Linked DNA regions of Rattus norvegicus. The protein of the gene in region 1 purifies or fractionates together with the protein of each later gene. This does not show direct contact. Links are inferred from orthologs where the notes say so. Each region holds a gene or a part of one and is shown on either strand. Other genes may lie near its edges. The genes, in order: Hnrnpa1, Ddx28, Ilf2, Hnrnpc, Ddx17, Ddx5 and Hnrnpr.

The links.
Region 2: the proteins of Hnrnpa1 (region 1) and Ddx28 purify together in Homo sapiens (affinity purification with mass spectrometry; 3 studies listed by BioGRID and IntAct, with this or other methods). This does not show direct contact. The link is inferred for Rattus norvegicus from reciprocal best matches to the Homo sapiens genes HNRNPA1 and DDX28.
Region 3: the proteins of Hnrnpa1 (region 1) and Ilf2 purify together in Homo sapiens (affinity purification with mass spectrometry; 4 studies listed by BioGRID and IntAct, with this or other methods). This does not show direct contact. The link is inferred for Rattus norvegicus from reciprocal best matches to the Homo sapiens genes HNRNPA1 and ILF2.
Region 4: the proteins of Hnrnpa1 (region 1) and Hnrnpc purify together in Homo sapiens (affinity purification with mass spectrometry; 8 studies listed by BioGRID and IntAct, with this or other methods). This does not show direct contact. The link is inferred for Rattus norvegicus from reciprocal best matches to the Homo sapiens genes HNRNPA1 and HNRNPC.
Region 5: the proteins of Hnrnpa1 (region 1) and Ddx17 purify together in Homo sapiens (affinity purification with mass spectrometry; 4 studies listed by BioGRID, with this or other methods). This does not show direct contact. The link is inferred for Rattus norvegicus from reciprocal best matches to the Homo sapiens genes HNRNPA1 and DDX17.
Region 6: the proteins of Hnrnpa1 (region 1) and Ddx5 purify together in Homo sapiens (affinity purification with mass spectrometry; 4 studies listed by BioGRID and IntAct, with this or other methods). This does not show direct contact. The link is inferred for Rattus norvegicus from reciprocal best matches to the Homo sapiens genes HNRNPA1 and DDX5.
Region 7: the proteins of Hnrnpa1 (region 1) and Hnrnpr purify together in Homo sapiens (affinity purification with mass spectrometry; 7 studies listed by BioGRID and IntAct, counting the BioPlex papers as one, with this or other methods). This does not show direct contact. The link is inferred for Rattus norvegicus from reciprocal best matches to the Homo sapiens genes HNRNPA1 and HNRNPR.

The regions. Positions count from the first base shown.
Region 1 is NC_086025.1:136,252,623-136,256,917, forward strand, and holds the start of Hnrnpa1 (heterogeneous nuclear ribonucleoprotein A1), read left to right. Parts: upstream 1-1,495; 5' UTR 1,496-1,536; coding exon 1,537-1,551; intron 1,552-1,595; exon of another isoform or gene 1,596-1,953; intron 1,954-2,093; coding exon 2,094-2,210; intron 2,211-2,466; coding exon 2,467-2,613; intron 2,614-2,784; coding exon 2,785-2,995; intron 2,996-3,081; coding exon 3,082-3,174; intron 3,175-3,261; coding exon 3,262-3,354; intron 3,355-3,501; coding exon 3,502-3,576; intron 3,577-3,779; coding exon 3,780-3,938; intron 3,939-4,295. UniProt on the Homo sapiens protein: Involved in the packaging of pre-mRNA into hnRNP particles, transport of poly(A) mRNA from the nucleus to the cytoplasm and modulation of splice site selection.
Region 2 is NC_086037.1:50,819,143-50,823,023, reverse strand, and holds Ddx28 (probable ATP-dependent RNA helicase DDX28), read left to right. Parts: upstream 1-1,450; 5' UTR 1,451-1,460; coding exon 1,461-3,083; 3' UTR 3,084-3,381; downstream 3,382-3,881. UniProt on the Homo sapiens protein: Plays an essential role in facilitating the proper assembly of the mitochondrial large ribosomal subunit and its helicase activity is essential for this function. May be involved in RNA processing or transport. Has RNA and Mg(2+)-dependent ATPase activity.
Region 3 is NC_086020.1:178,255,588-178,259,726, forward strand, and holds the start of Ilf2 (interleukin enhancer-binding factor 2), read left to right. Parts: upstream 1-1,339; 5' UTR 1,340-1,445; coding exon 1,446-1,450; intron 1,451-2,228; coding exon 2,229-2,288; intron 2,289-2,626; coding exon 2,627-2,669; intron 2,670-4,139. UniProt on the Homo sapiens protein: Chromatin-interacting protein that forms a stable heterodimer with interleukin enhancer-binding factor 3/ILF3 and plays a role in several biological processes including transcription, innate immunity or cell growth.
Region 4 is NC_086033.1:27,279,916-27,283,923, reverse strand, and holds the start of Hnrnpc (heterogeneous nuclear ribonucleoprotein C), read left to right. Parts: upstream 1-1,208; 5' UTR 1,209-1,362; intron 1,363-1,946; exon of another isoform or gene 1,947-1,983; intron 1,984-4,008. UniProt on the Homo sapiens protein: Binds pre-mRNA and nucleates the assembly of 40S hnRNP particles. Interacts with poly-U tracts in the 3'-UTR or 5'-UTR of mRNA and modulates the stability and the level of translation of bound mRNA molecules. Single HNRNPC tetramers bind 230-240 nucleotides.
Region 5 is NC_086025.1:112,986,948-112,991,237, reverse strand, and holds the start of Ddx17 (probable ATP-dependent RNA helicase DDX17), read left to right. Parts: upstream 1-1,490; 5' UTR 1,491-1,968; coding exon 1,969-2,018; intron 2,019-4,290. UniProt on the Homo sapiens protein: As an RNA helicase, unwinds RNA and alters RNA structures through ATP binding and hydrolysis.
Region 6 is NC_086028.1:92,229,129-92,233,328, reverse strand, and holds the start of Ddx5 (probable ATP-dependent RNA helicase DDX5), read left to right. Parts: upstream 1-1,400; 5' UTR 1,401-1,489; exon of another isoform or gene 1,490-1,500; intron 1,501-1,597; exon of another isoform or gene 1,598-1,738; intron 1,739-2,028; 5' UTR 2,029-2,169; coding exon 2,170-2,213; intron 2,214-3,360; coding exon 3,361-3,526; intron 3,527-3,902; coding exon 3,903-3,999; intron 4,000-4,089; coding exon 4,090-4,200. Other genes in the region: Cep95 (centrosomal protein of 95 kDa), read right to left, coding at 1,127-1,145. UniProt on the Homo sapiens protein: Involved in the alternative regulation of pre-mRNA splicing; its RNA helicase activity is necessary for increasing tau exon 10 inclusion and occurs in a RBM4-dependent manner. Binds to the tau pre-mRNA in the stem-loop region downstream of exon 10.
Region 7 is NC_086023.1:153,833,019-153,836,518, forward strand, and holds part of Hnrnpr (heterogeneous nuclear ribonucleoprotein R), read left to right. Parts: intron 1-2,031; coding exon 2,032-2,145; intron 2,146-3,500. UniProt on the Homo sapiens protein: Component of ribonucleosomes, which are complexes of at least 20 other different heterogeneous nuclear ribonucleoproteins (hnRNP). hnRNP play an important role in processing of precursor mRNA in the nucleus.

The DNA.
Region 1 (4,295 bases):
AAAAACTTTCATAGGGATACAAGTACAAATACAGCGGCCCTGGAAACGGGTGGTAGTGGTTAAGTCTATTTTTCTTGGATGTTTTTCATTAAAGTATTCATTTCACTGTAAAATTTTAATATTCTTCTTTCCAAAGAATAAAGGCACGTCCTCTAGAGTCTAAGTGAAGGGTGAAACTTTTTGTACCAAAAAGTACAAGAAAACATATGTTTTCCTTAAGGTAATATACGGAATGAATGCCTTAATTATAGGAGTCATTTTAGTTAAATGTTCGCCCCCACAAATGCAAGACTAAGCTTTATTTTTTGAGAGTAGTCTGTCCTACTGGCTCCAGGTTTGCTCTATATGAATTTAACCTACCGACTCCCGCGCTCCCCACTGGAGTCCAGCCTCTGCCTCTTGGGGAAGGCCGGCCTATGGCGCGCTTGGGGTTCATTGGCTCGGAGAGACGCAACTCAGGCAAGAAAAACCCGCCTCCCACATTCCGATGGCCCAAGGACCGGTTGGTAGGCAGCTATAGGAAGACCCAATTGGCCTATACACTCGCCAGTCAAACGCTTCGGCAACGCAGCTTCACCGAACCTGCAAGGATAAAACATCCCGCCCCAGTTGTCCTATTGGCTGGCCCGACCCGTCGCGGCCCCTTCACCGTCGTCTCCCCCCCCCCCCCAGTTCAGCGGTCCATTCATTTCGTACAATAACCGGTGCAATTGGAGCAGGTTCAAGATCTCGTACGGGTAGACAAGACTCTGCCACTTACCCGGGATCTAAAGTGATCACTCACACTAAGGCCTGCACGGTTCCTCTGTGGCAAAGCGGCACCACAAGCCACCGCTACCGCCGCCTTCTGCGCAATGCCAACCGCCCGCCAAAACGGATCCTTCCCTGCGCCTGCGCAACCAATCCCGGGCTTGGACCTTTTCTCCGCCCAAAACGCCTGCGCAAAACAGAACACAGGTCCCTCCACTACGCAGGCGCCTACGAACCTCGTATCCCTCTCCCGCCCGCCATTTCACGTGTTCCAGACAGCAGGCGGAACTTCGTACTGCGCCGGCGTAAACTCGCCATTTTTATTACACATGCGCTTTATAGCTGGGAAAAGTCGCGGCGAACTACTTTCTAACGTATCGTCCTTTGCCGAGTGAGTTTGTAACATTCGGGTGTGGGGAAGGTATAAAACACATTTAAAGACGTGAGTACATTCAAATATAAATTACTGGCTAGCTAGCCAATCAATGTGGTTAAGAATAAGATCCCTTGGGGCGTCAATGACTCAAAGGGGCGGGGACTGAGTAGAACGCCCAAACGGATGCCGTTTCTTAGCAGGGCGTTTTTACAGGCCAATGGTGGGAGGGAACAATTTCAAATCTCCAATAAGACTGAAGCAAGGGCGGAGTCTACCAATGCCGAAAGCGAGGAGGCGGGATAAAAGGGAGAGCAGAAGGTAGGCTGCCGGACACGTTCGCTATCTTATTCCTTTCTGCTCTTTGACGCTGGCGAGGAAGCATCGCTGAACGCTCTCATCATCCTACCGTCATGTCTAAGTCAGAGGTGAGTTGAGCGCGCTCTGCAGCTTCGCTTTCTTCCACACTTACTGAATATGACGGGATGTGACCTGTTTTGTCGCTGGCTCCCGTGCTTTCGGTGTTTGATCGATTACTGCTGAGGCCTACTTTAAAAAATGCAGGTCGCCATTTTGTCCTCATAGTCACCATGAGGCTGCGATCCGACAGCCATTAGTTTCTACGCACTGTTCCTTTTGGCAGAATTCTTACACTTAACGATCTGGGGTTTGTGGCCTTTTTTTCGTTTTTCCCTATCTGGTCTAATGATCTCTTGTTAAAGAGATACTAAGTCTTAATGGCGATGGACCAGACCAACCTGTGTCTTTTGTTGCGCCTGCGTATGAAGTAACAGGACGCATGCGCCGCGTGCAACTCGAGTCCCCAGTCAAGCCCAGGAAGGAGCACGTGGTCTTGTGCAGTAATAAAGAACAATAAAAAAGTGTGGCGTGTGTTGATGAATGGTGTTGATTCATTCGCCCAAGTTTCAGGCCCTCCACTAAGCCCCCTCTTTCCCCCACTTTATTTTAGTCCCCCAAGGAACCGGAACAGCTGCGGAAGCTCTTCATTGGAGGGCTGAGCTTCGAAACAACCGACGAGAGTCTGAGGAGCCATTTTGAGCAATGGGGAACACTCACCGACTGTGTGGTAAGATTTAAAAAAACAAAAGGAAGAGCTGCCTTATTTCTTCTGATTTAACCTTGACGCTTCTTAGCTAAATGTTTTGTGAAGTTAATTAATGGGATACTAAAAATCATCGTTGTGGAGCTTTGCTAACAAGATCTGTAAAAGAGCTTTTTATTTTCTGACTCTGGATGGAGTTTCATGTTTGCAGCGCTCTGACTAGGAATGACTTTTTGGCTTTGTGATCAGGCACTGTGTTGATTGAATTAACTCTAAACAGGTAATGAGAGATCCAAACACCAAAAGATCCAGAGGCTTTGGGTTTGTCACATATGCCACTGTGGAGGAAGTGGATGCTGCCATGAATGCAAGACCACACAAGGTGGATGGAAGAGTTGTGGAACCTAAGAGAGCTGTGTCAAGAGAAGTGAGTGGTTTTTCCTAATAGCTGGTTCTTTTTTAACCTGAGATTGTAATGGGGCAGATCTCAACTGGGAGATCCTCCCTCCTGAGTGAAATTAAAGGCATGTGCCACCACAGGTGTCAATCATTTAGGAATGTGCTGCTACTAAATAACTGGAGTCATTTTTCCTTTTAGGATTCTCAGAGACCAGGTGCCCACTTAACTGTGAAGAAGATCTTTGTTGGCGGTATTAAAGAAGACACTGAAGAACATCACCTACGAGATTATTTTGAGCAGTATGGGAAAATTGAAGTGATTGAAATTATGACTGACAGAGGCAGTGGAAAAAAGAGGGGATTTGCGTTTGTCACCTTTGATGACCATGACTCTGTGGATAAGATTGTTAGTAAGTATCAGAGGATTACATTTTCCTTTATGATTCTGGAGTTCACATGTTTTTTTAAAAGTCCTGAATTTAATTTTTCCTCTTAGTTCAGAAATACCATACTGTGAATGGCCACAACTGTGAAGTAAGAAAGGCTCTGTCGAAACAAGAGATGGCTAGTGCTTCATCCAGCCAGAGAGGTGTGTTTATTGCTTGGTTAGACTTGGGGTGAGGAGGACACTGTTAGTTATTACAGGTTAACCTAATGATCCAAAATTTCTTTTAAGGTCGAAGTGGTTCCGGAAACTTTGGTGGTGGTCGTGGAGGTGGTTTCGGTGGCAATGACAATTTTGGTCGAGGAGGGAACTTCAGTGGTCGTGGTGTGTATGGCTTTGTTTGGCTCCTTGTTGGTTTTAGAACTTATAACTAGTAATTGCTACCCTGTGTCCCCAGCACTTACAGGTTTTGATATTTGATAAGTATTCATTCACGTACAAAGCCTGGTTTAAAGCTTTGGTTTCTTCCAGGTGGCTTTGGTGGCAGCCGTGGTGGTGGTGGATATGGTGGCAGTGGGGATGGCTATAATGGATTTGGCAATGATGGTAAGTTTCTTAAGGAGTCTGTAAGGAGTGGTTTCTGGCGACCTCTACCTTTAGAATAGGCTACTAGAGACTAAACCTAGTGCATGACAAAGTTCAGTCAGCCCCGTAAAATGCATGCCCTGAGCAGCCTTTAGCTATTTAACTTGCGTAGATTTTTCTTGTTAAATACTTTTGTCTTATTGAGAAGACTTGTATTCTTGTAGGTGGTTATGGAGGAGGCGGCCCTGGTTACTCTGGAGGAAGCAGAGGCTATGGAAGTGGTGGACAGGGTTATGGAAACCAGGGCAGTGGCTATGGCGGGAGTGGCAGCTATGACAGCTATAACAACGGAGGAGGCGGAGGCGGCTTTGGCGGTGGTAGTGGTAGGTATCCAGTGACGCAGGTACTTGGTGCGGAGCTAGATGAGACTTCCAGGGTTTATGCCCGTCTCAGACTTCACGGCTGGCTCTTAGAGCATTGTAGGTACATTGCATGGTGCGTGCAAATAGGCTTGCTATGCTACCTCCTCCTGGCTTTAAGCTGGGGCCGCCTCCCCCAAAATGAGTAGGTGGATGAGTGGTTAGTGTCTTCCTTCCACATGAGGTAGTTAGAGACATAGCTGGATTGTCTACCTTCTGCTGGGACTTCAGGCATTTAGTTGATATATCCAAGAAATGTCTGTCTTGACCTAGAATATGTACACAAAGACCTTCGATTCTAACTTGCCACTGAGAGAAACT
Region 2 (3,881 bases), on another chromosome or scaffold:
ACTATGCTCAGCTAAATGTTAATCTTTTTAATGGTACTTTCATCAATAGGTACCTACTAGGAGATTGGTTCTAGGAACCTCAAAGATACCAAAATCTGAGGATGCTCAAGCCCTTATATAAAATTTCTACATAGACGCATATATACTTTGATTTTAGGGGGAATGGATTCAGGACTTCACATGCTAATAGGCAAGCACTGTATCACTAATCTACATTCCAACCCTCTCGCACATGCTTTAAATCATCTGTAAATTGCTTATGACCAATAGAATATAAGCACGATGTAAATACTTGGTATACTGTATTGTTAGGGAGTAAGTTCAAAGAAAAATGCATATACATATTTAGTACAGACACAATTTTTCATGAATATTTTCATTTTACAGTGGAAAAATCCACAGATGTCCACCTAGTGAATGAAATTAAAACACTTTCTCCAGATGTTAGGAACCTCCTAAGTATTCAGTCCACAAACATTGACCTTATCTCCCACTCCAGACACTTGACATCTGACGCCCATATTTTTTTCAGATGTGTTCAAGAAGTATGAAGTAAAATAAATAAATAAATAAAAATTTAATAACCTGAACCACTATTCAAGTCAAGTAGTCTGCTTGATCAGCACTATGTGAAATAAGCTTTCATCACTTCATAAGGGTAACGGGACCCTTTCTTCTTTCTACTTCTAGTCAGGCAATTTAGAATCTGCCTGAGAAGCCAGTGGGATATGAGCAGACTCTAAGAGTGGTTGAGTCCAGTCTGAGAATCATGAAGGGGTGACAAGGAATGGAGAATGAAAAATCATGAAGGGGTGACAAGGAATGGAGAGTGAAACTTGCCTGGAAAAGAAGTGTAAAAAATGAGAAACTACACCTGAAAGAACTGAGACCATCTCTCTCCCTTCATAGACGAAATATGTTGAAGACCACCAGCATGCACTCTGGGTTCTAGAGAACAGGGCTGAGCCTGGACCCAGACTTCCAACTTTTGCTTCAGTCCCCAGGCCTATCATTCATTCAGACTCTCGGGAAACTTGCATCACCGAGGTTTTGAGCGATGCGCATATCTACATCGTCGTACTTTGTACCCTTGAAGTTCTATGGAATAACAGGTCGGGGCAATGACGACCACAGGTAAGATATCAGAAATTAAGCACTCAGTTGACAGAGGCCATCCTCACTCGATTCCTTGAGCCAGGGACCCATGTCCCCCTCCTATTGCGGACTCCCACTCCTTCTTCCACCGAGTACCCGTCCCCAAAGATGACCCCAGTCTGGACATCGCCCTGCCGGATGGAAACCTACAGACCTCACAGCCACTGAACTCTTAAGGATCCTCCCTCCTTCCAGACGGTACTGCAGAGCCACACGTGACACTGATCTGCGCCAGCCACCGTATTTCAGACTACAGTCGCGTACGTGACGTCACTACCATGCGCCTCTTCTGCATCAAGAGAAATATGGCTTTAGCCGGGCCAACGCGGCTATTATCATTAGCAGTCCGGTTGCTTCTGGAACCTCGACGGAACATAGTGTTGCGCGGTTCCGACCAGTCCTTGCCTGTTGTGCGCATTCCGCGGGCTCTGCAGCGACGGCAGGAACAGCGACGGAGCGACCGTGGGAGTTTCCAACGGCCGGTGCTAGTGCAACCTGGTCCACTCCTGGTCTCGGCAAAGCGGCCAGAGTTGAACCAGCCCGCACGCCTCACGCTGGGCCGTTGGGAGCGGGCACCACTGGCTTCGCGTGGCTGGAAGCATCGGCGATCGCGTCAGGACCATTTTTCCATAGAGCGAGTGCAGCAAGAGGCGCCCGCCATGAGGAACCTCTCGTCCCGGGGCAACTTCGTGGACCTGGGTCTAGAACCCCGAGTACTGCTCGCGCTTCAGAAGGCTGTCCCCGAAATTGTTCAGCCAACCTCCGTGCAGTCGAAAACCATTCCCCCACTGCTTCGCGGCCGCCACATCCTTTGCGCTGCTGAAACCGGTAGCGGCAAGACGCTTAGCTATCTACTGCCCCTATTTCAACGGCTCCTAAAAGGGCCAGAGCTGGACTCCCGCAGTTCCACCGCTCCTCGAGGCTTGGTTCTGGTACCTTCCCGAGAATTAGCCGAACAGGTGCAGGCAGTGGCCCAGTCATTGGGTAGGTACTTGGACCTGCAGGTTATAGAACTTGGCGGAGGCCTGGGAATGAATAGGCTCAAACTTCAGCTGGGTAAATGGCCGTCAGCAGATGTGCTAGTGGCTACTCCAGGGGCGCTGTGGAAGGCTCTGAAAAGTCAACTGATCAGCTTACATCATCTTAACTTCATAGTGCTGGATGAAGTAGACACGCTGCTAGATGAAAGCTTCGTGGAACTGGTGGACTACATCTTGGGAAAGAGCCCTATAGCAGAAAGTCCAGCTGAGTTAGAAGACCCCTTTAATCCCAAAGCTCAGTTAGTGATGGTGGGAGCCACATTTCCAGAAGGCCTAAACCAATTGCTGAGTAAAGTCACCAGCCCAGACAGTCTGACCACCATCACCAGCTCCAAGCTCCACTGCATCATGCCTCATGTCAGACAGACATTTATGAGACTAAAGGGAACAGAGAAGGTGACAGAACTGATTCAGATCCTCAAACAGCATGACAAAGCAAATAAGGCAGAACCCTCGGGAACTGTCCTGGTATTCTGCAACAGCGCCAGCACCGTGAACTGGCTTGGGTACATTCTGGATGACCACAAAATCCAACATTTAAGGCTGCAAGGGCAAATGCCAGCCTCAATGAGGGCAGGTATCTTCCAGAGTTTCCAGAAGGGCTCCCAAAACATACTTGTCTGCACAGACATTGCCTCACGAGGCCTAGACAGCATCCACGTGGAAATGGTTGTCAATTATGATTTTCCCCCTACTCTGCAGGATTACATCCACAGAGCAGGAAGGGTGGGTCGAGTGGGCAGTGAAGTGCCGGGGACTGTTACCAGTTTTGTGACCCATCCCTGGGATGTGAGCCTGGTTCAGAAAATTGAACTGGCAGCTCGTAGAAGGAGAAGCCTTCCAGGACTAACATCTTCAGTGAGGGACCCATTGCCTCAACAAGACTGACTTTTTTGGCTGACTTAAACCTACAATAGAGCAGGGATCTTCTTGGAGGTCCAGGAAAGTTGAACACTTGTCTTTTGATGACATTGGGTCATACCAGCCCCTCGCCTCTCTGCAGTATAATGAATTGTTTCGAGATCTGAAAAATAAACTACTAGACAGGAATGGAGAGTAACATTCAAACAATAAAGTGGGGGGTTGGGGATTTAGCTCAGTGGTAGAGCGCTTGCCTAGCAAGTGCAAGGCCCTGGGTTCAGTCCCCAGCTCCGAAAAAATAAAAAATAAAGTGGATGTTGACTTTACATAATGTCATGGTTTCTTTTTCTTCTAATTGTATGTGTGTGTGTGGAGGTCAGAGGACAATTCTGTGTAGTCAGTATTCTCTTTCCACCTTTTTGTGTTCCAGGGATCTAACTGAGATCATCCTGCTTGTTTGACAAGTGCCTTTACCCACTGAGCTATCTCAATGGACCACACATCATGAGTTCTAAAAAACTATTTGTATGTGTGTTTTGAAACAAGTTGGCACTGTATATCACACAATGGACTTGGTCCCTAGTAATCTTCCATTCTTTTTTTTTTTTTAAAGACAGGGTCCCTTTCCTGGTGGTGGCACATGCCTTAATCCAGTACTCAGGAGGCAAAACACAGGTGGATCTCTGAGTTCACTTAGCTAACAGTGGTTTTGTGGGGACAGCCTTAATAGTAACCACCATTTGAAGAGAATTCAGTAGATTTTAATGATTTATACTCTACCACATGGGATTTGTTGGCTTGGGTTGTGTTGCTTTGATTTTTTTT
Region 3 (4,139 bases), on another chromosome or scaffold:
GTGTATATGTATACGTGCTTGTGAATACAATCCCCTAGAGGACTTTAGAGATTGACTGAACTTAGGGTTGGGGATTTAGCTCAGTGGTAGAGCGCTTGCCTAGGAAGCGAAGCGCAAAGCCCTGGGTTCGGTCCCCAGCTCCGAAAAAAAGAACTGCTGAGTCATCTCTGATCGAGCCCCAATAAAAAGAAAATCTAAAGGCAAACCTAACCCACGATAGTAGAAATCCAGTATGGTTATCTTTCTGAGATGATAAAATACTGTTTTTGTGAGGCAGGATCTCCCTATGTAGACTTACTTGGCATGGACTGGTTACCTAGAATAGTCTGACCTTGAACTCACAGAGATTCTCCTGCCGCTGCCTCCCAGGTGCGGGAATTAAAGACATGCTCCACCATGTTTACCAAAATATCCTTTAAATTTTTTTCCGTTACATTTATTTATGTTGTGTTTGTGGGTGTCACCACACCCACGGCATTCATAGTGAGGTCGGAGGACAAAATGCAGATCGCGGCTCACCTTCCATCACTGAGTCTCCAGAGGTCGAACTCAGGTAGTTGCGATTGTACCTGCCGACTCACCTTGCCGACCTGATAAAGTATTCCTTATTTTAATGAGGTTACTTAGAAGGAATAGATGCCTACAAAAGTAAATAATACATCAATACTTGTCAGAATCACCTAGCATAGGGAAGTGGGGAGGGAGGATCTGGGTGGAACTGGGGAAGAGAAATACATGATCAAGAAAAATTGTATGACAATTTTCAATAAAAAAGAATCATATAACAGTAATGATATTGAGGGAAAAAATGGTGGGAAATGGAACTATTTCTGATATTTCCGTAAGGTAAAAGTTATGTTTTCAAGTGAGGCGGCACACGGCAGAGATTGCTAAGAGTTTGATGACAGCTCAGGCTACATTAACGAGTATTATGTAAACTAGGGTGACAAAGCAAGACGCTGTCTGGAAAAAAAAGTTGGAGAAGGAAAAAAAACCCCACATCTCTTGCTATGGAAAAATTTAATTGTATTTTCACCCGTAAAAAGAAAAACAAAGTCTCCGATAGCAGAGGATGGTTTCGATCCATCGACCTCTGGGTTATGGGCCCAGCACGCTTCCGCTGCGCCACTCTGCTACCTACTGGTAGGCTATGCTTGTATTACCATAGAAGACTTTACCTGCTTACAGCCTCAAATTCTGAACGCCCTCTACTGTAAGTGGGGGAAATTGCCTCTGTCCCTGGTATGTCTTCTTATTGGTTGACTCCTTTACAGAGCATTTCCATTGGTTGCTGGGTTAACCAATAAACGCACGGGACGGAGTGAGGCGGGAGCCTATCGCGCAGGCGTTTGTTGGGACACGCCGACCCGACGTTTCTCTGTTACCTTGATTCTTCCAAGCGAAGAGCGGTTGAGTGGTCTCCATTGTTCAGGATTAAGCGAGCCATGAGGTAAGTAGACAGGGTGCTTGAAAGTTCCTGCCGTAGCCTCGAGGGATGGGGGGTTGGAGTTGGGGAGCAGGCTGAAATGGAGTCGGGGGAAGAAGGGCCTGTATCTGGGCGGCCGGCGGAAAGCCGGGCCGGAGAGAGTGGAGTAGGAGGAGGCTGGCCGACTCGGGGAATCGGGCCTGGAGGGGGGCCGGGCCCCAGCAGGGCAGTTGTGTTGATTCCTGGGTCTCGGGGGATGGAGGAGAGGTCTTAACGGACCAGGAAGATCACCCTCCGTGCGCAGTGAGCAGGCTGGAGCGCTGCACATTTTTCTGGTGCCTAGTGTTTGACCAATTGGACATGTCTCGTAACTGGTATGCTGTATTAATAAATGAGAAGTCACCTTACCCTGAATATTACGACCCGTGTGCCTCAGGATCGTGGGTTACTTAGTAGGGGTATGTATGTCAGGTTCTGAAACTCGTATTTTCCTGATGTGAGTTTTGATAAAATCCTGAATTAGAAGTGGGGTGTGGTGGCTCAGGATGCAGTCTTGGGGTGGGGGGAGGTAATGCAGGAGATACATGAGATTCCGTTTCAAAAACAGAAGAAAAAAAAGTCCAGAATTAGGATGTCATGAGAGTGGGACTGGACATCATTTGGAATCGGGGAGAAGTGAGCATGATATATCTGTCGACTTCAGTAGTTGGAGGGGGGTCAGGGTAAGTCACATTGAAATAACATTGATGGTGTGATGGAAACCTTTTTCAGCAACATGAGAGTAAAATGTATGTACTTTTAGGGGTGACAGAGGACGTGGTCGTGGTGGGCGCTTTGGTTCCAGAGGAGGTCCTGGAGGAGGGTGAGTGTGGCTGTTCACGTCTTTGCCTTGGTTTGTTTCAGTAGATAGGAGTTTGGAGTAGATTGTTCTGTTTGATTTTGTGAAAACCACTCGAAGCATTTCTTTTCCTCATGTCCTACAAAGTGAATTTGGCTTTTTGCTAAGAATGATGCAGCTTAGAAATGCCTGAATTCTTTTTTTTTTCGGAGCTGGGGACCGGAACCCAGGGCCTTGCGCTTCCTAGGCAAGCGCTCTACCACTGAGCTAAATCCCCAACCCCAGAAATGCCTGAATTCTTAAGACAGAATTCTCTTGCTTGCTTTCTGCCTGAATAATTTTGGATTGTTTTCATGTTTCAGGTTCAGGCCTTTTGTGCCCCACATCCCCTTTGATTTCTATTTGGTGAGTATTTTGGCTTTGGAGAACTTGACTGGCTACTGCTCACTTACAGGTGTAGAAGCCCAGAATCCTTGTTAATGACGTTAGATACTGTTTGGAGTAGGATTCAAGAATGGATCTGTTCTTTGAGAGTGGGTCTTCTGTATGATTGGCTGGCCTGGAACTCTATGTATACCAAGCTGACTGCAAATTCATCATCTTCCTGCCTCAGCCTCCTGAATGCTAGAATTACAGGCATTCATCTGCTGTAAGTTTTTTTTTTTTTTAAGATTTATTTATTTATTATATATAAGTACACTGTAGCCGTCTTCAGACACACCAGAAGAGGGCATCAGATCCCATTACAGACAGTTGTGAGCCACCATGTAGTTGCTGGGAATTGAGCTCAGCACCTCTGGAAGAGCAGTAGTGCTCCTAACCACTGAGCCATCTCTCCAGCCCCCCTGCTGTAAGTTTTTATTTACTTAGTTTGAGTGCTAGAGATGTGAACATGCTACATGTATACCCCATTAACTGGTTTTATTTTATTATTGTATTTATTATATATTGCAATCTACTTAGAGCTATAACTACAGGTCTAACATGGCTCTAGCAGAGGACACAAGTTTTTCCCGGTTCTTACATCGTACATAGTGCACATCTGTCTGTAACTCTGATTTCCAAGGCTCTTACGTCTCTGTTGACTTCCACAGGCTCTTGCACACAGGATGCATATACACACACTGTGGCACTCGCATATACATAAATACATATTAAAAACAAGCCAGTTCACCAGCCCAGCCAGTCTTAAAGAGAATGAAGTCCTTTTGTGATACCAGCAATGGAAACCCCAGCAATAGGACCATTGTTAGTGTTCAGGGCCAGCCTGGGCTACAAATGAACCGTCTCAATAAGAACAAAACTTAGAAAAGAGTGTAAGCAAGGCAGGGAAGATACTTTCTTTACAGTTTGATTGTAATATTTGTCTAGAAAATACTTTTTTTTTTTTTTCTTTTTTTTCGGAGCTGGGGACCGAACCCAGGGCCTTGTGCTTGCTGGGCAAGCGCTTTACCACTGAGCTAAATCCCCAACCCTAGAAAATACCTTTTTTTTAAAAAAAAATATTTTTAGGACTTATTTATTTACTTTGAGACATTGCGTGTGTGTGTGTGTGTGTGTGTGTGTATGTGTGTGTGTGTGTATAAAACCTTGGCTGGCCTGGAACTCAGAGATCTGCCTGCCTCTGCCTCCAGAGTGCTCAATGTGTATATTATACTACATGGTAGATTATAATTAGTTTCTTTCTTTCTTCATTTATGTTTGGATTTTTAAACAGGGCTTTTCTCTGTAGCCCTGGCTATCCTGGAACTCAGAAACCCACTTGCCTCTGCCTCCTGAGTGTGTGCCACCATTGCCATCTGGCTTTTTTTTTTTTTTTATCAGGGGCAGCTCTTTTTTTTTTTTTTTCGGAGCTGGGGACTGAACCCAGGGCCT
Region 4 (4,008 bases), on another chromosome or scaffold:
AACAGAAGGAACCTGGGGTTCAATGGCCCGCAAGCCTAGCCATGAAGGGCTTCCCATTTGTCTGTCTACCTACCTACCTCTACCTAGGTACTTATATTTATTGTTTTTTCGACAGAGAGTTTCACTATACAGCCCTAGCTGTCCTGAAACTTGAGTAGACTGGCCTTGCACTAGAAATACCGCCTAGCCCAAACCTTTCTTTAAAGAAAAAAAAAATAAAATAAAATTGGGAACACATAAACTCGCTGGACTGGAACATTTAAAATAAATCCTTTGAAAATGTCAAAGGTTTAAAGGTCTAAAGAAGACCTAAAAGATTATTTTTTATTTTTAAATCAGGAAATTTCCTGGGGTACTCTTTCCCTTTCTCAGTAGGCTATATACATTTTTGGCCTGTTTAATGTTTCTACAGTGTAACCAGAGCTTTACTGGCCGAGCTGAGGGGGTTAAGTAGTATCAAGCTATTGCAGGAAGTGGGAAACTGAGGCGGCTGGCCATTGGTTTTGCAGATTGTGTGACGACTTGGGCCCAGGAAACGGGTTTATAGGGGTCTAGGCAATTGCTCTTATAGGAGAGAACTATGGAAACCAGTTGGTTTGGAGGGAGCTGTTCACTGACAAGGCCACGTCCTTCCAATAGCTTATAGAATCTGGCAATGAGAGGGGATCTGAATTTGAAAATAACTGCAGACCTGTTTAGTTTTTAACACTTCAGGCGGCCTAGGGATTACGATCCTCCCTTCTCTAAAGCTTGTTTGCACTTCCCTTTTTTTCCAAGGCCTGAGGCTAGGGCAGGCCCTTTGCACCCGCTACCAGACTCCACCCAGGCTTTCCCACCTCCGTGCCGCGGAAATGCGGTGATCTGGCCGGACCTAGGATCTCTAGGAAGCACTGATAGGACGACACGGCCGTCAGTCAGGTCCGCCGGATACCCGGATGAGAAGCTGTGCGCGATACAAAGGCGAAAATTCCACCCAGCTTTCCGTCTGGTACAGTGACCAATAACCATCCGTCAGACACTAAGTGATAGAAAGCTTAACCAATTACTAAGTAGCTTTTGTTACGCATGTGGAAATTCTCCCAATTAGCCCAACCCACCTCGTGTGATGATTGGACGGAATTGTGAGGAGCGGTAACGCTATCTAATTAGGAGCGGGAGCGAGAAAAGTCACAGCCAATAGAAACGCCTCCGGGAGCGGGGCGGGGGCTGGACTTTTGCCTCGGCGGCAGAGGAGCTCGGGGGCCATTTTGTGAAGAGACGGAGAGCGAACGGTCGTGTGGTTCCTTGCTGTTGTAGCTCCGGCTTCTCGGCGTAGACCCGCAGTAGGAGAGGCAGGCTCTTCTCTCTCTCTCCTTCCTCTTGGTAAGCGGAGAGGGCGAGGGCAGGGGAGGCCCTGGGTTGCTGGGCCCCGCGAGGGGGTTGTAGGCGAGAAAACGGCCTCGCGGCAGAAACCGAGGCCGCGTTTGTTCCTGTGCGTTGGGGATTGGGTCTAAGGCGGGAGGCAACAGGCCTCGGCCTTGGCGCAGGTTCAACCTAGTGACCTCTAGGCCACGGTGCGTACGAAAATACCCTCTTTGCGCGCTGGTGTTTAACGGCTACTTTCATTTCCTTCCCCCATTAGGATTCCAAGGGGGAGCAGGGGAGCAAGAAAGCGAAGAACGAAATGCTTGTTAATGTAATTGTAGTGAATCTCTTACTCCGTTATTGTCTTCTAAGCTAAATGTCGGGCGTGGGTGGGGGAGCGATAACATGGTGGTGTAGTACTGGAAGCTTCTAAATTCCAGGCCGGCCACATGGCATCTGAACGGCGTTTTAACAATAGATTAAGTAGTGATTACTTTTTTCTTCAAGGGATAGATGGGTAAAAGTCGGGAGTGCTTTTGGTTTGTAAAGGGAAGTGCCCAAGGTAAATTGTAATTGGAATAATTACAGCTTTTTATCTGCAGGTTACAAATCACATAAGTTAGTGGAACTTTGCTTGAGGTAGGTACTGCTGTCCTAGAGAGAAGTGAGACTTAAAAGTGGTTGACAGGACCGGACTAAATCAGTAGTAGAGAAACTAAGATATTTCTAGGCAGGTCAAGTTACTAGAATAGACTATACACAAGAAGAGACTTAGCCGGTAGGTGGTGACAGTGCACGCCAAATGCCTCCCACCACTTGGGAGGCAGAGACAGGCAGATCTCTCTGAGTTGTGGGCCAGCCTGGTCACAGAGAGAGAGTTCCAGGACAGCTCGGGCTACACAGAGAAGCCCTGTCTCAAAAAGGGGGGTGGGGTGGGAATGAGTTTTTCTTTTTAGAGGAACCTGATACCGAAATTTACAGGACATTTTCAATCTGGACTTGGGAACAATAATTAAAAGGCACAGAAATAGTTTACAGATACTCCAGTATTAATCCTACCCATCTAGAATGGAAAAAAAGCAGTTTACAGCTAGTTATGGTAGTGCAGGCCCGGAATGTTTGCATTCTGGAGGTTCAGAGACAGGAAGATCCTGAGCAAGATCCCATTGCAAGGCAGCCCAGGACTACATAGTAAAACATGTTTAAAAATTAAAGTAGTTGCTCTCTTGTAGGTGTTGAGTTCTTTTTTTTTTTTTTTTTAGATTTATTTATTCTATATAAGTACACTGTTGCTGTCTTCAGACACACCAGAAGAGGGCATCAGATCTCTTATTACTGATGGTTGTGAGCCACCATGTGGTTGCTGGGAATTGAACTCAGGACCTCTGGAAGAGCAGTCAGTGCTCTTAACCCCTGAGCCATCTCCTCCGTCCGAGTTCTTTTAAATATAGCTAGTGATAGTGCTTAGGATTCAAGATGCCCAGGATTCAATCTCCCATACTAATAAAGGGTTTTTGTGTCACATTAACTTACCTGGGAGTTATTTCATTAGATAAACTTATTATAAAATTGGTATTTCACTCTGGCACAGTTTTTAATCTCAGCACTAGGAAGGCAGGAGATCTGAATGTAGAGTAAATCTAGTAATTCTAGGACAGCCAGGGCTATACAGAAAACAATGGGTTTGATTAAGTGACAAAAATATGCTACTAATCTTAGTTTAAACTATACACACATTTTACTCTTAAGCATACTTCATGGAATGTGCATGGCCTACTCTTGTAATTTGAGCACTTGGGGGATAGAGGTAGGAAGAGTTCAAGGCCATCCTTGGTCCAGCTTGGAGTATTAAGACTGTCTAAAGAAGAACAAATGCAGACAAAGGAAAAAAAAACAGCCTCCCACATTTTTTGTTTGGTTTCTCTGTGCAATAGGCCTGGCTTTTCTGAACCCACTGTCTTGATTAGGCTGGCCTTGAACTCTGATCCACCTGCCTCCGCCTAAGTAAGAGATGGGATTAAAGGCATGTGCCTTTAAAAAGTAGATAGAGTACAGGGTTTTGCCTGGTGAACAGTGAAAACTAGGTAAGAGAAAGTATTATAAATGTCAGAAGTTATGCAAGGTTACTGGTAGTAGTTGATGTATACTTGCCATTAAGTGTTATAAATGTAGGCCAGGCTTGGTAGGCACCTTGTTCTGGTAGAACATGTGGATTTCTTGGAGTTTTGAGGCCAGACTCAAATTACATTTTTGATTTGACTTGGGAGGAAGCTGTTAAAATTGCAAGGTTTGGATCTCTCATTTGCCATGGTCAAGCCATTTTCCAAAATGGTTGGTAATGGTTACTATTTTTTCTGTAGAGTAATTATAACATGTTTGCAATTTGATCTCTAGATTTATTGGCTTGTGATCTTGTTATAAATGGGCATGGCTGTTCAAGCAAGTAAGGAATATATTCCTAAATAGTTCGTTACAGTCTTATAGATGATGAGTGGAAGTTACTAACTAGGGAAACTACAATTGAAAAATCTTGGCTGTGTAAAACTATGTAAGTATCCAGTAAATTAGACTTCTGGATTTGTTTTGAGATATAAAACAAGCTAAACTACTACTTTATATGGAAATTTTGAGTTCTCATTTAACCCTAGTCATTGCTGAAAGTAG
Region 5 (4,290 bases), about 23 Mb from region 1:
TAACTCGAGATCCGCCTGTTTCTGCCTCCTGAGTACTGCGATTAAAGCAAGCATCGGCTTCCCTTCAGTGTGTGGTGGTTGTTGTTGTTGTTGTTGATATTGTTGTTGTTGTTGTTGATGTTGTTGATGTTGGGTGTGCTAGGTATTGAATCCGGGGCTTCAGTCATGGTCAGCAAGCACTTTCCCACAGCCTCTACACCATTTTCTTTTCCATGTTAGCGAAAGTTTAACATAGAGACTGGAGAGATGACTCAGGTTAAGAGCACTGACTGCTCTTCCAGAGGTCCTGAGTTCAATTCCCAGCAACTACATGGTGGCTCACAACCATCTGTAATGGGATCTGATGCCCTCTTCTGGTGTGTCTGAAGACAGCGACAGTATATTCACATACATAAAATAAATAAATCTTTAAAAAAAAGAGTCTGACATAAACATTTGTCATCTGTCTCCTCTCCGTCTCTAGAGAATAGAGCTCTGAGCAAAGGAATGTGTTGGTTCCCCAGTGCCCTAGCAACTATCGAAATGCATGGATTTCTGTGACTTTCTCTATGGCCCAAATGACAAATGAACAGCTTCTCAAGGGCTTTCAATAAGCTAAGCAACACTCAGAACCGGAGACAAGACTCAGTCTTCAGGCTTCCATTCTCCGCGTCTATAGAAATGAGCCTAGAGGTCTCAAGGAATACAGCAGTTTCACAATTTTATAAAGCAAGTATGACCAAGCTTGTGTGGCTTGGCAGTGTGCAGGGATGGCAAGCAAAGAAAGTAATCTAGGAGTTGGGTGGTACCCGTGGCCTAGCCCAGCCTGCCTTCCCCGGATTGGGTTTGCAAATCCTCACCTAGAAAACGCACCGTTTCTGCAGTCGCGGACCCGTGTGAGTCACCCATTTTAATGATGGCTAAGGTTCAAAGCGCCCACCTCAGAAAGGACTCTGGGAAGGTGTGGCCTCCGTATGAGGCATCAACTATGGCCAGTGGGAAATGTGACAACACTCTGTACGGAAAAATGGCACCTTAACATGAACTGCGGGAAACACTGGATGTCTTTTAGCCTAGCTGGGTTGTTGCCCGCTTTAGAGAGCGACACGATGCATCCAACATGGCTGCGGCGCCAGCGCGGCAAAAAGCAACGGGAAGGAAATGGCGCCGGGGCGTGTGGCTAGCTTGGGGCACAAAGGGCGCTGGGGCGAGGGGCCGAGGCCAACCAAGAGGGTCTCAAGACTTTCAGGGTTCTACGGCCCACAGACCCCGAAGCCTGACCAAAGCAACATGGAAAGCGACCATTGTGTCTGCACAAGGCTGGCATCAAGGGTCGTTTGAGCTCGGAATGCCGGGATAAGTCGATTCTCTAAACAGAATGCGCTACGAAGACTGCGCATCCTCGCAATAGTGGGCTGGCCAACGACGCAAACAATGTTACGTCGTGCCGACGGCTCGCCCCACCCCCACCCAACGTTCTAGAGCTGGCGGCGCGAGAACGCTACGCCGGTTGCGCACACTGCCTTATTTAGGTGGACCAACAAGAGCACTCATCTCCGTCACCGGCGTAAAGCCATTCCTAGAATGTCTGTAGCATCGCGCGCAGCCCTCCAGGCGCTGTTTACGTAGCGTCTCGGCTGTGCGTAGCGTTAAGTTGGAGCAGTCTCAGCGGCCGCCGCCATTTTGTGCAGTTGCTGGGAAGGGAAGGAGACGCCTAAACCGTGGCACCGCCCGGTTTGAGCGTGACCAGACCTCCCAACTGTACTAACAACCCCGATTCTCTGAGTTTTGCTCCCGTCTCCGACGAGAGAGGCGGCGACGGTGGCGTCTGCGACGGGAGACAGCGCGTCGGAGCGAGACAGCGCCGCGCCTGCCGCCGCCCCAACAGCGGAGGCGCCGCCGCCATCGGTCATCACTAGACCAGAGCAGCAAGCCCTCCCGAGCTCGGTCATCCGTGCCCCACTCCCAGATCTTTATCCGTTTGGGACCATGCGCGGAGGCGGCTTTGGGGATCGGGATCGTGACCGGGACCGTGGAGGGTAAGGGGGAGGTGCAGGCGGGGGGCGGGGTGGCCCGCAGAGCCTGAGGCTCGGGACGTACAATGGCGGCAGTGCGCGGGCCTCAGGCTCTGGCGGGCGCCTTTGCGGACCGCGGTCCTGGCTCGGAAGTGGCAGGCCAGCCTGGTCTCCTCTCTTGGCCCGCTCGCTGGTCATTTGATACCTGCAAGCTGGCCCTCGCGTCTTATGGGGAGAACAGTTTTCATCTAGGAAAAGCTGCCTTGAATGGTTTCCTTTCCGCTATGTTAGCCATCCCTTTTAGAGAAGGACTAGAGTCGGAAAGACCTTTTTGAATCTAAACTAGGTTTTACTACCCTTGTGTCTTATTTTGGTTAACTGGAAGCAGTTTGGAATAGGAAGTGCTGGAGTTGATTTCTAAAAGATCGAAATTGGGAGAGCCAAGAGGCAGGTGACTTTTTAAATTGCCTTTTAAAGATCCAGTTGATTTTGAAGCCTAAGCTAAGAAGTTTTGTTTTTATTTTTTTTTCTTTTTTTTCGGAGCTGGGGACCGAACCCAGGGCCTTGCGCTTGCTAGGCAAGCGCTCTACCACTGAGCTAAATCCTCAACCCCCTTTATATGTTTTTTTAATTAGTTAACGTACGAAGCTTTTGGTGGTGTGTTGCCTGAGAAATCCTTGAATATATGCCCTGGAATCAATACATCCAAAAGCTTATGCCAGCTTTATTTCTGACACCTAGAGAGTGGAAACACTTCGCGTCTAGATAAACTCTGGGTGCTTTTTGTTTGGATACGATGAAAACTTGGCTAGTTGTGGTGGCAAATCGACTCAGGAGGCAAAGACAAAACAGATTCAAAGCCAGCCTGATCTGTGTAGTGAGTCCCAGGACTACACAGGGAGCCCCTACCTCGAAGGAAAAAAAGTCTTTGAAAGTAACCAAGCTGTTGAAACCAAAAGAACCCCTTGGGGTGACACATACCAGTAATCCCTGCATTTGAGGCTGAGTCAGGAGCTTGGAGTTAAAAGCTAGCCTGGGCTACACAGATCTTGTCTCAAAACAAGGGAATGGTTAACAGTTCAAAGTGAGGGGCAGTGGTAGAAAAAGGAAATTCGGTTAGAAAACGCCTTGTAAAAGAATCTTAATTGTAGAAGCTTTATTTTCTGCTGGATCATTAAGATGCAAGCAGTTTTGGATTCTAGCAAGCACAGTGGACATACATAGGAACCACATTACACTCGTTTGAGTTAGGCTTAAAACCTCTTAATGATTGGGTCTTGGCTATTGCATGATTGAAAAAGAACTGACTTTCTTGGAAACGTTTTAGAATTCTGTTTGTTACTTCATTTGCAAGTGGAGTGAGGCAGTCAAATGAGAAGCCCTTGACACTGTAATATTGAGCTGAAAAGCCTGAGACCTTAAGGTCTGGTGGGTGTACTCAGTTGTGTATTTTTCTTTCTAGTTGTGTTGTTTTAGCAGTGGTATTAAGTCACCCAAATTCTGCCTACTGAATGTAGATACCCAATGAATTCCAGAAACGTTTCTGGCCATAAATCATTGCAGGGTGGGTTTGTCTCAGTGCTGTGTAGCTTAGTCTGCCCTGGTTGACCTGGAATGTGTCTTCACTGTGCCAGTGTCCAGAGTTCAGAAACAGATGTAGGCCACCACACCAGGCTCTAACAGAAGAGAATATTATTGTCTTGTGGGGTTCCTGCTACCTCTCCCAGTATTACCAGTCTTGACATTCTTTAAAGTAGCTACTATTGAATTTTCTCCAATGCTCTAGTGGTTTACAAGGAATCAGGAGTGAGGTCCTGCAGGGCATGGTGGAAAGAGAGGCCTAGGCCTCCAGCACAGCCAAGGCTATGATAGAGTCTCAGAGAAACAAAACTAAAAAGGAAATGAGTTTTTTTTAAGGCCCTGTACTACATAGATTAAGACAAATAAAGAGGTTATAATAGGACAAATTAGAGGTTATGTTATATTGTTCTGGGAAAAGTAGTTTCTGATTTCTTACATCTTAGCTTTGGCAAGTGGCCATATCTGTATTGTTTAGCTTATCTGTGGTAAACGGTATCTAAAGACAAGACAATTTAAATTTGTTTGAAGGGGTTTTGTTTTGACTCCAGGTCTCTTTGTAGACCAGAACTGGCCTTGAGCTCTGACCTTGTCACCAGCTTTCAAGGGCTAGGATTACACATGTTCAATTCAATACAATCATTAACAAAACAAACACCTGTAACCTACATGTTGGTGAGGTTTTTGGTTTGTTTTCCTCTGTAACTAAATATTAGTT
Region 6 (4,200 bases), on another chromosome or scaffold:
TCCTATTTACCGGTATTTTTATACTCACATGGGTGTTTTTAGTTACAATAAATTTATAGGTAACCAGGAATATCGTAAGACAGCTGTAAATGAAAACCTAAAAACTGCTAGAAATTAATGGAGGTAGCTCTGAATTCCCAGTAGTTTTTAGACATGTTTTTACCCAATTATCTTGTATAAGTAAGATCTCTCGGGTGCCCAAACAAGTGATTAATTTAGGCTGTTAGGAATTTGAATAATGACAACACCGACACTAATGCATTTGTTAGTTTTCTTTTTTATTATATTTGATGTGTACGAAGGTAAAAATGAAAGAAAAAAAAAGCCAAATCGCTAAGCTCTAAACTAGCACATTAATAATCCTAATCAAGCTCCCCGTTGTTCTTTTCCAAAAACAGCTCGTGCCCTCCCCCAGATAGTACAGGACTAACGATTAAGGGTTTCAGCAATAATTCCGAAAGCTTGAAACGCCTGTATCCTGAAATGACTGGATATTAGAAAGCACTTTAGAATTGGTCACATTTCCAGTACAGTCAGACATTCTGGAGACAGTAGTCTGAATGTGTCATGCCCATTTTGCCCTCCTTCCAATGCCCAATGCGCACAGCTGACCAAGCCATGACAACCATTTTGTATTGTCTTGGAAAGGACGAGGAAAGCGTCCTAGACAACCGAGTCAATTGGCTTTTTAAAGGCTGTACTAGACAAAGCCAGTTACTGTAGAGGGCATCAAAAGATCTTATGAGTGCTATGCCTCAAAAGGAAAAAATATATATAGATAGGTTCAACCTTAGTCCAAACAAACCAAAGGGGAAGGAGAGACAGTCTGTGGCTAGATACCCCACAGAAACTCGGATCCAAGAAGGATCCTGACTGCTCTGTAAAAACAGGATGAGGGTATCCCAGCCTTGTCAATGAGCTCCTGTCTCATCCCAAGTCTCAATTCCACGCCTGGAAAACACATGAGGTCTCGAGGGTGAGACCCTAAATTTAGAGATTCCCTGCGACTGCAACTAGTGTCCAACCATCACGAGCCTCTCCAGCAGCCCAGACATGGCTCAGATTCAGCCCGAGGCCTGCGGAATGCTGCAGTACAAAAACACTAGGGCTCCAGGCCGAGACTCACCAGCCTCTGAGCTGGCCATACTGCCAAGTGAGGTCGCGGCCAGACTCCAAGACGAGAGCGCGGGCGACGGTGTCCTGGAAGGGTCGAACCCGGTAGAACCGAAGGGAGTAGGAGGGGGTAGAAACCAGAGAGCGGGGAAGGAGGGGTAGAAAAGGGAGGGACGTTAAAACGGCTTCTCGCCGCTGATTGGTCAGAAGAGAAGCACTTCCTTTCGCAGCACGCGCTTAGGCGGCAGTTTGCGGGCTCCAGATACCATTCCCCGCGGACAAGATCCCGCTTAAGGGCTCTCAGATCGGCGTGCAGGGCAGCCAGGTCACCCAGCAGCCCGGCCGATCTCCTGGGGGCGTTAGAGCCGCGCTTCCGGTGAGTTTGTGGTTTTGTATTCCTCCGCCGAAGGCAAGCGAGAAAGTAGTGCGATACGCCTTGCCCAGGGTACAATCACGTGACAACGCCAAGCTCCGCCTCCCCCGTCTTCTTTGGTTATGGGCGTGGGGGAGTCTGTGAAGACGTAAACATCTTCAAGTAGAGACAGTAGGATGGCTGGTGCTGGCCATTTTAATGACTGGTTGGCCACGGGGAAGAAGCTTGTTTGACATGTAGCAAGGCGAGAAGGTGGTGTAGCCAAAAGGGTGTGGGACGGGGCATTCTAGTGGTGTCACCCAGTCGAGAAGCGAGTAATAAACGGGCGCCTATGAGGGAGCGCCCGCGGGGGGGAGGGGCGAGAACATGGCGGATTCCGGAACGCCAGCGGGCGTTGAGGCCTTGGAGCCAGGGGGCGGGGTGATTAGGTCATAGAGCGGCTCCCAGCATCCTTTGCGACGAGGAGGCGGTCCAGACTATAAAACCGGCTGCCCGGACGCAGCCGGCACCTCATTCATTTCCATCGGTCCTTGGGTTTACAGCTCCGGCCCTCGTCACCGCCGTCCCTCCGCTGGTGACGCCCCCGCAAAGGCTTCGCCGTCGCCGAGGCCTCCTTTCAGCGACTCGTCGCAACTGGATTCTCTTTCACTGGGTTCCTCCAGCACACCGCAACCATTGACGCCATGTCGAGTTATTCTAGTGACCGAGACCGCGGCCGGGATCGAGGGTGAGTATAACAAGGGACCTGTCAGGGCGGGTGGGGGATGGGAGAGCGGCGCGGCAGAAGCTCGGCTTTCCAACCGACCTTTAGATTTTTTTTTCTGGTAGGAGGCCTTGCGTTTCTCTGACATCCGGCTAAAAAGCCGTTAAAGGCGACGCTTCTGGTAACTGGGTTCAACCTTGGTTTTTGTTTGGGAGGACGGCGGCCTGGGCGACCTCGCGGCTGTTGTGGGAAGCCCGGAGGTGTTTTAGATAGGGAAGCGCCTCGCCTTAGAGTCGGCTCAAGGCGTCGTTTGCGCAGCCTTTCGCTGGGGGTTTTAGGGGGGCCCCCGGGGTCCCCAGAGAATACAAGGGGCGCTTTCGAGGCCGTCTGTGCCCGGTAGGGTGGCCTACGCCAGCGGATTCAGCCATGTGGCTGAGCCGCAGCCACAAAATGCCGGCCTCGGACATGGCGGCGGCGCCTTTGTTACCCCGCCCGGCGGAGGAGCTCAAAATGGCAGCGTCGAGAAAATGTGGCGCAGAGAGAAATGCGAGACAAAGAAGGAAGCGCCGCCCCAGCGGGAACGCCGCCCGGGCCGGGACTCCTCCCCCGGTTGCCGTCGACTCCTCCTCTTTTTCTCCCTCGCGTTATATAATTTTGTTACCTTGATTTGCAGCCGTTCGCGGCGTTTCCTAAAACAAGGCTCCCTGGCGCGTGTGCCCCTTTCTACCCTGCCCGCGGTACCGTCCTCCCATAGCCACTCACGTTGCCTGCGCAGTCCCGTTATTTCTTTAAGATCAGGCCCTTTGATGAAAACAGTGGCAAAAATAACCTTCTTAAGCTCCTCCCTTCTTGTCCAGCTCCTAGACACTTAATTCCTAAGCTCTGTGGGGAGAGAAGAGGGAGCCTCTAGCTGTTGTCCTTGTAATCTGAACTTCAGACGTTTGGGCAGTTTGGGACCTGATAGATCCCACGCTGTTTATTTGGCCTCATTAGAGTGTACTTGGGACTTCAGAAAAGAAACGCTGCCAGTTGTGGCTGTCCGTAGAATGACAGTTGGGAAGGATTCCAGAGGCACACTTTGGCTCGGATCAAGAGACATTAAATGAAATGTGGAGACAAACCTGTTCATGTAGAAGTCTGTTCACAATGTACCTAACTTTTTTTTTTGTAGGTTTGGTGCACCTCGATTTGGAGGGAGTAGAACAGGACCCCTATCTGGAAAGAAGTTTGGAAATCCTGGGGAGAAACTAGTTAAAAAGAAGTGGAATCTTGATGAGCTGCCCAAATTTGAGAAGAATTTTTATCAGGAACACCCTGATTTGGCAAGGCGCACCGCAGTGAGTATTTAAATGTGGCTTCATCGTGCTATAACTCAGTAGTAACTACTTCTGATCAATTAGATGGAAACTTAGCAGGTGCCTTGCAGATTATTTGGAGAATTACTTGTCTGACTTCCCATTGAATTTTCTCTTGTGTATTGGCCAGGTGTAATGGCCATATGTTAATCTCTGGGGAAACATCACTGGGGAAACAGGCTTGTCAGCCTATTTGGGCTTCATAGACACTTTTTTTTTTTAATGTGTATTGTGATTTTTACTGCTAAGTAGAGTTCCATTTATGGGTCCAGATAGTTAGAAATGAGTGTAACTGAGCTGTAGGGAACTTGTCGGTGTATCTGGCCTAGGTCTGAGACCAAGATCATTTGTTTTTCAGCAAGAGGTAGATACGTACAGAAGAAGCAAGGAAATTACAGTCAGAGGTCACAACTGTCCAAAACCTGTTCTGAATTTTTATGAAGCAAACTTTCCTGGTAAGGAATAAATTTTATCTTTAACCCTTTACGTTTTTTCCCTCTTTTTTTGCCTATAAGTTTTTGTTAAAATGGTATTGTTGGTTGCAGCAAATGTCATGGATGTGATTGCAAGGCAGAACTTCACTGAACCCACTGCTATCCAAGCTCAGGGCTGGCCAGTTGCTCTCAGTGGATTGGATATGGTTGGAGTAGCTCAGA
Region 7 (3,500 bases), on another chromosome or scaffold:
GTAGCTCAGTCTGATCGGGAACTCACTGTAGAGCCCAGGTTGGTTCCAAACTCAAGGTGATGCTGCCTCAGCCTCCTGAGTGTTGAAGTGAAAGGCTGGGATTTTTTTTCTCTTAGGAAAGAGCTGTCGTATTCTAACTGCTTTCTTCTTTCTTTTGAATTTTTTCTGACCTTAGTGCATCTATAAAATGGTCCTGGTTGTGCCTACAGCGGTTGTGTAGATTAGATGAATTCATATGTAAAATATCTACCCTCCCCAGTCATCATTATTATTACTAACCTAGATAAACTCCTTTGAAAGGCAAATAGGCTTTTGCTAAAAGACCTAGTTAAAGGGGTATTGACAAGGTTGCAGTTGGTCACCCCCAACCCCAAGCCCTGGGGATCTAACCCAGGGCTTTACACATGCTAATCGAATGCTTGGTTCTAAGCCGCCCTCCCAGATTTAATTTGAATGGTATTGAATTTTGGTGTTGTTTGCACTGGTGGCTCCTGTTTAGGTCTAACTAACTTTGTAAAGCATCTTTACACTTTTCTCCTCCATTCTCATCTGTTTATAAAGTAATTTAGCTGAATTCTTTTTTTTTTAAAGATGTAATTATTTATATGAGTACAGTGTCGCTCGCTGTCTTCAGACACACCAGAAGAGGGCATCAGATCCCATTTCAGATGGTTGTGAGCCACCATGTGGTTGCTGGGAATTGAACTCAAGACCTCTGGAAGAGCAGTCAGTGCTCTTCTTTTTTTTTTTTTTGGAGCTGGGGATCGAACCCAGGGCCTTGCATTTGCTAGGCAAGCAAGCACTCTACCATTGAGCTAAATCTCCAACCCCATCAGCAGTCAGTGCTCTTAACCGCTGAACTATTTCTTCAGCCCCCTAGCCAATTCTTAGATAAATTCCAAACAACTGTATAACAACTCTGATTGGCTAACACCACCCCTGTCCCCCAGCCCCCTGGTAAAAAAAAAATGGAAGGTTCAAGACATCCATCCCTGTGGAATCATATGGTTAACTAAATTTAGCAAACATAAATCTGGTGTTGCTTTGTATAATTAAATACCTAACATGCAAAGCCCTTCTCTTTCTTGGTAGAGTACATATTTTGTTTGCCAACAGAAGATATTCTATAGGCCTTTCATAGGAAATTTCACATGAGTGTTATGTAAACTATAGTGCAAGCTCTTTGGGGGCAAGGGCATCTTCTGTTAACTAATGTTAATGAGGTGGGACAATTAAATAATAAGGTTTCATTTTTTTTAAGTCAGTATATTTATTTGGTAGTTACCAAATTTAGAGTCTACCCTGTGAGATACTTCAGTTGTGCTGAGCTTGTGGTTTGGTAAGAATATGAACAGACAAATGGAATAGTTAAGGGCAGTCGTGAGCTGTGTGTATTCTGGGAACTAAACCCAGGAGTTTGCAAAGATCAGCAGGTGCGCTCAATGTTAGAGCTGTCTCTTTGGCTACCCCCTTTGAAATAGTTTACTGTTTTCTTTAATTGTATGTATATGTGTGTGTCTGAGTGTGGATTTGTACACATGACTACAGTGTCCATGGAGGCCAGAAGAGGGTGTTGGACTCATTGGACCTGGAGTTACAGACAGTTAATAGTGACATGTTTAGCATGTTTCCTGTGAACCAAATGTGTGTCCTCTGGAAGAGCAGTAAACTCTTAACTGCTACGCCATCTCTCTAGCTCCTCATTTTTCTTTTTCTCTTTTTTGGGGGGTGAGGAGGGAGTTCCAGACAGGGTTTCTCGTGTAGCTCTGGCTGTCCTAGAACTTACTCCATAGATCAGGCTGCCCTCAAACTCAAAGATCTGCCTGCCTCTGTTTGCTGAGTACTGGGATTAAAGTCATGCACTGCTGCTGCCCAGCCCCATATATGTGATACTGGAGAAAGAATCCAGTGCCTCATGCATGCATGCATGCATGCATGCTATATTTCTAGCTACTCCTTTTAAATTAGCATAAAATGCATTTCATAAGATGTTATAGTTTGTGTGTGTTTAACATGTGCAATTATTTTTAGGCCTTGCTCGAGAGGACTGGTTATACTTTGGATGTAACCACAGGACAGAGGAAGTATGGTGGGCCTCCACCAGACAGTGTGTACTCAGGTGTGCAACCAGGAATTGGAACAGAGGTCAGTGCTCTTATTTATCCCTTTGTGGGAAATCTTTCTAGTCTATTAAGTGGATTATCGAGTGTATGATGTGGGCAAAGTACTTGATTACTTTCAAAGTGTGGCTAGTGTTATATTGGTAGTATTTATGTATATTTTTTATTAGCAAAGGTAACTAACCTTGGTATAGAAATCTTTCTTGCAAGGTTTATTTCATGTATAAAGTACACTGTCGCTTTCCTTAGACACACCAGAAGAGGGTGTCGGATCTCATTACAGATGGTCGTGAGCCACCATGTGGTTGCTGGGAATCGAACTCAGAACCTCTGGAAGAGTAGTCAGTGCTCTTTAACTGCCAAACCGTCTTTCCAGCCCAGTATAAATCTATCTCTCTCTCTCTTTTTTAATTGCATTTTTTAAGTTTACAGTTTAAATGTTATCTTCCCCCCGCCTGCCTCCCATATCTTAAAGCAAGAAATACAGACAATTGTTGGAGCTTACTGCTAAAGGAAAAGTAGTTTTTAAGTTTTTTGTCCTAGAGATCGAACTTGGGCCCTCATTCGTTCTGAGCATGTGTTCTACCAGTGTGCCATGCTCCTTGACCTAAGTCTCCATTTGCAATGATACTTTAGTATGTAGCCTAGGCTGCCTTGACTTCTGAGGGTAGGGGTTGTGGGCATAGGCCACTGGACTCAGTTCATGTTTATTTTATTTTAAGACAAAGTCTTACATGTAAACTTTCCTGATCTAAAGTGCTCTGTGTAGATCAGGCTTGCCTTGAACAATTGGCAATCCTGTCTGCCTCTTGAATGCTAGGGTTGTGCTGGATGAGCCATCACGTCTAAAACATTTTTGTTTTGAAATGTCAGTACTTCTGAAACTGTGTTTGTCATTACTCTTCGCTTTCTTTCAACACATAAAATGCACTTAGAAATTAATGAGAGGGGAAAGTGTAGGTGTAGAATTGAGAAGATTTGAGCACATCAGTTCATATGCAGATTGAAAAGTAAGTGACTCCTTAGGCTTTTGTAAAAGTTTCTCTCTGGCTCATTCCTCCCCCTTCCCCCCTTTCTGTATATAGTCCTGGCCATCCTGGAACTCACTCTGTAGACCAGGCTGGCCTCAAACTCAGAGGTAATTCCTGCTCCTACCTCCTGAGTGCTGGGGTTAAAGGAGTGCTCTACCTCCCTCCTCCCTGGCATGCCTTCCTTCTTTTGGTTTGCTCTTGTTGTTTTTTGAGACAGGGTTTTATGTAGCTCAAGCAGTCCTAGAGCTCACTAACTTATAGTCCTCCTGCTTGCACCACCAGGGTGCTGGGATGATAAGTTTTCTCCACAACAGGTTTACGTAGTGCTGAGGCTCCAACTCGGACTCTG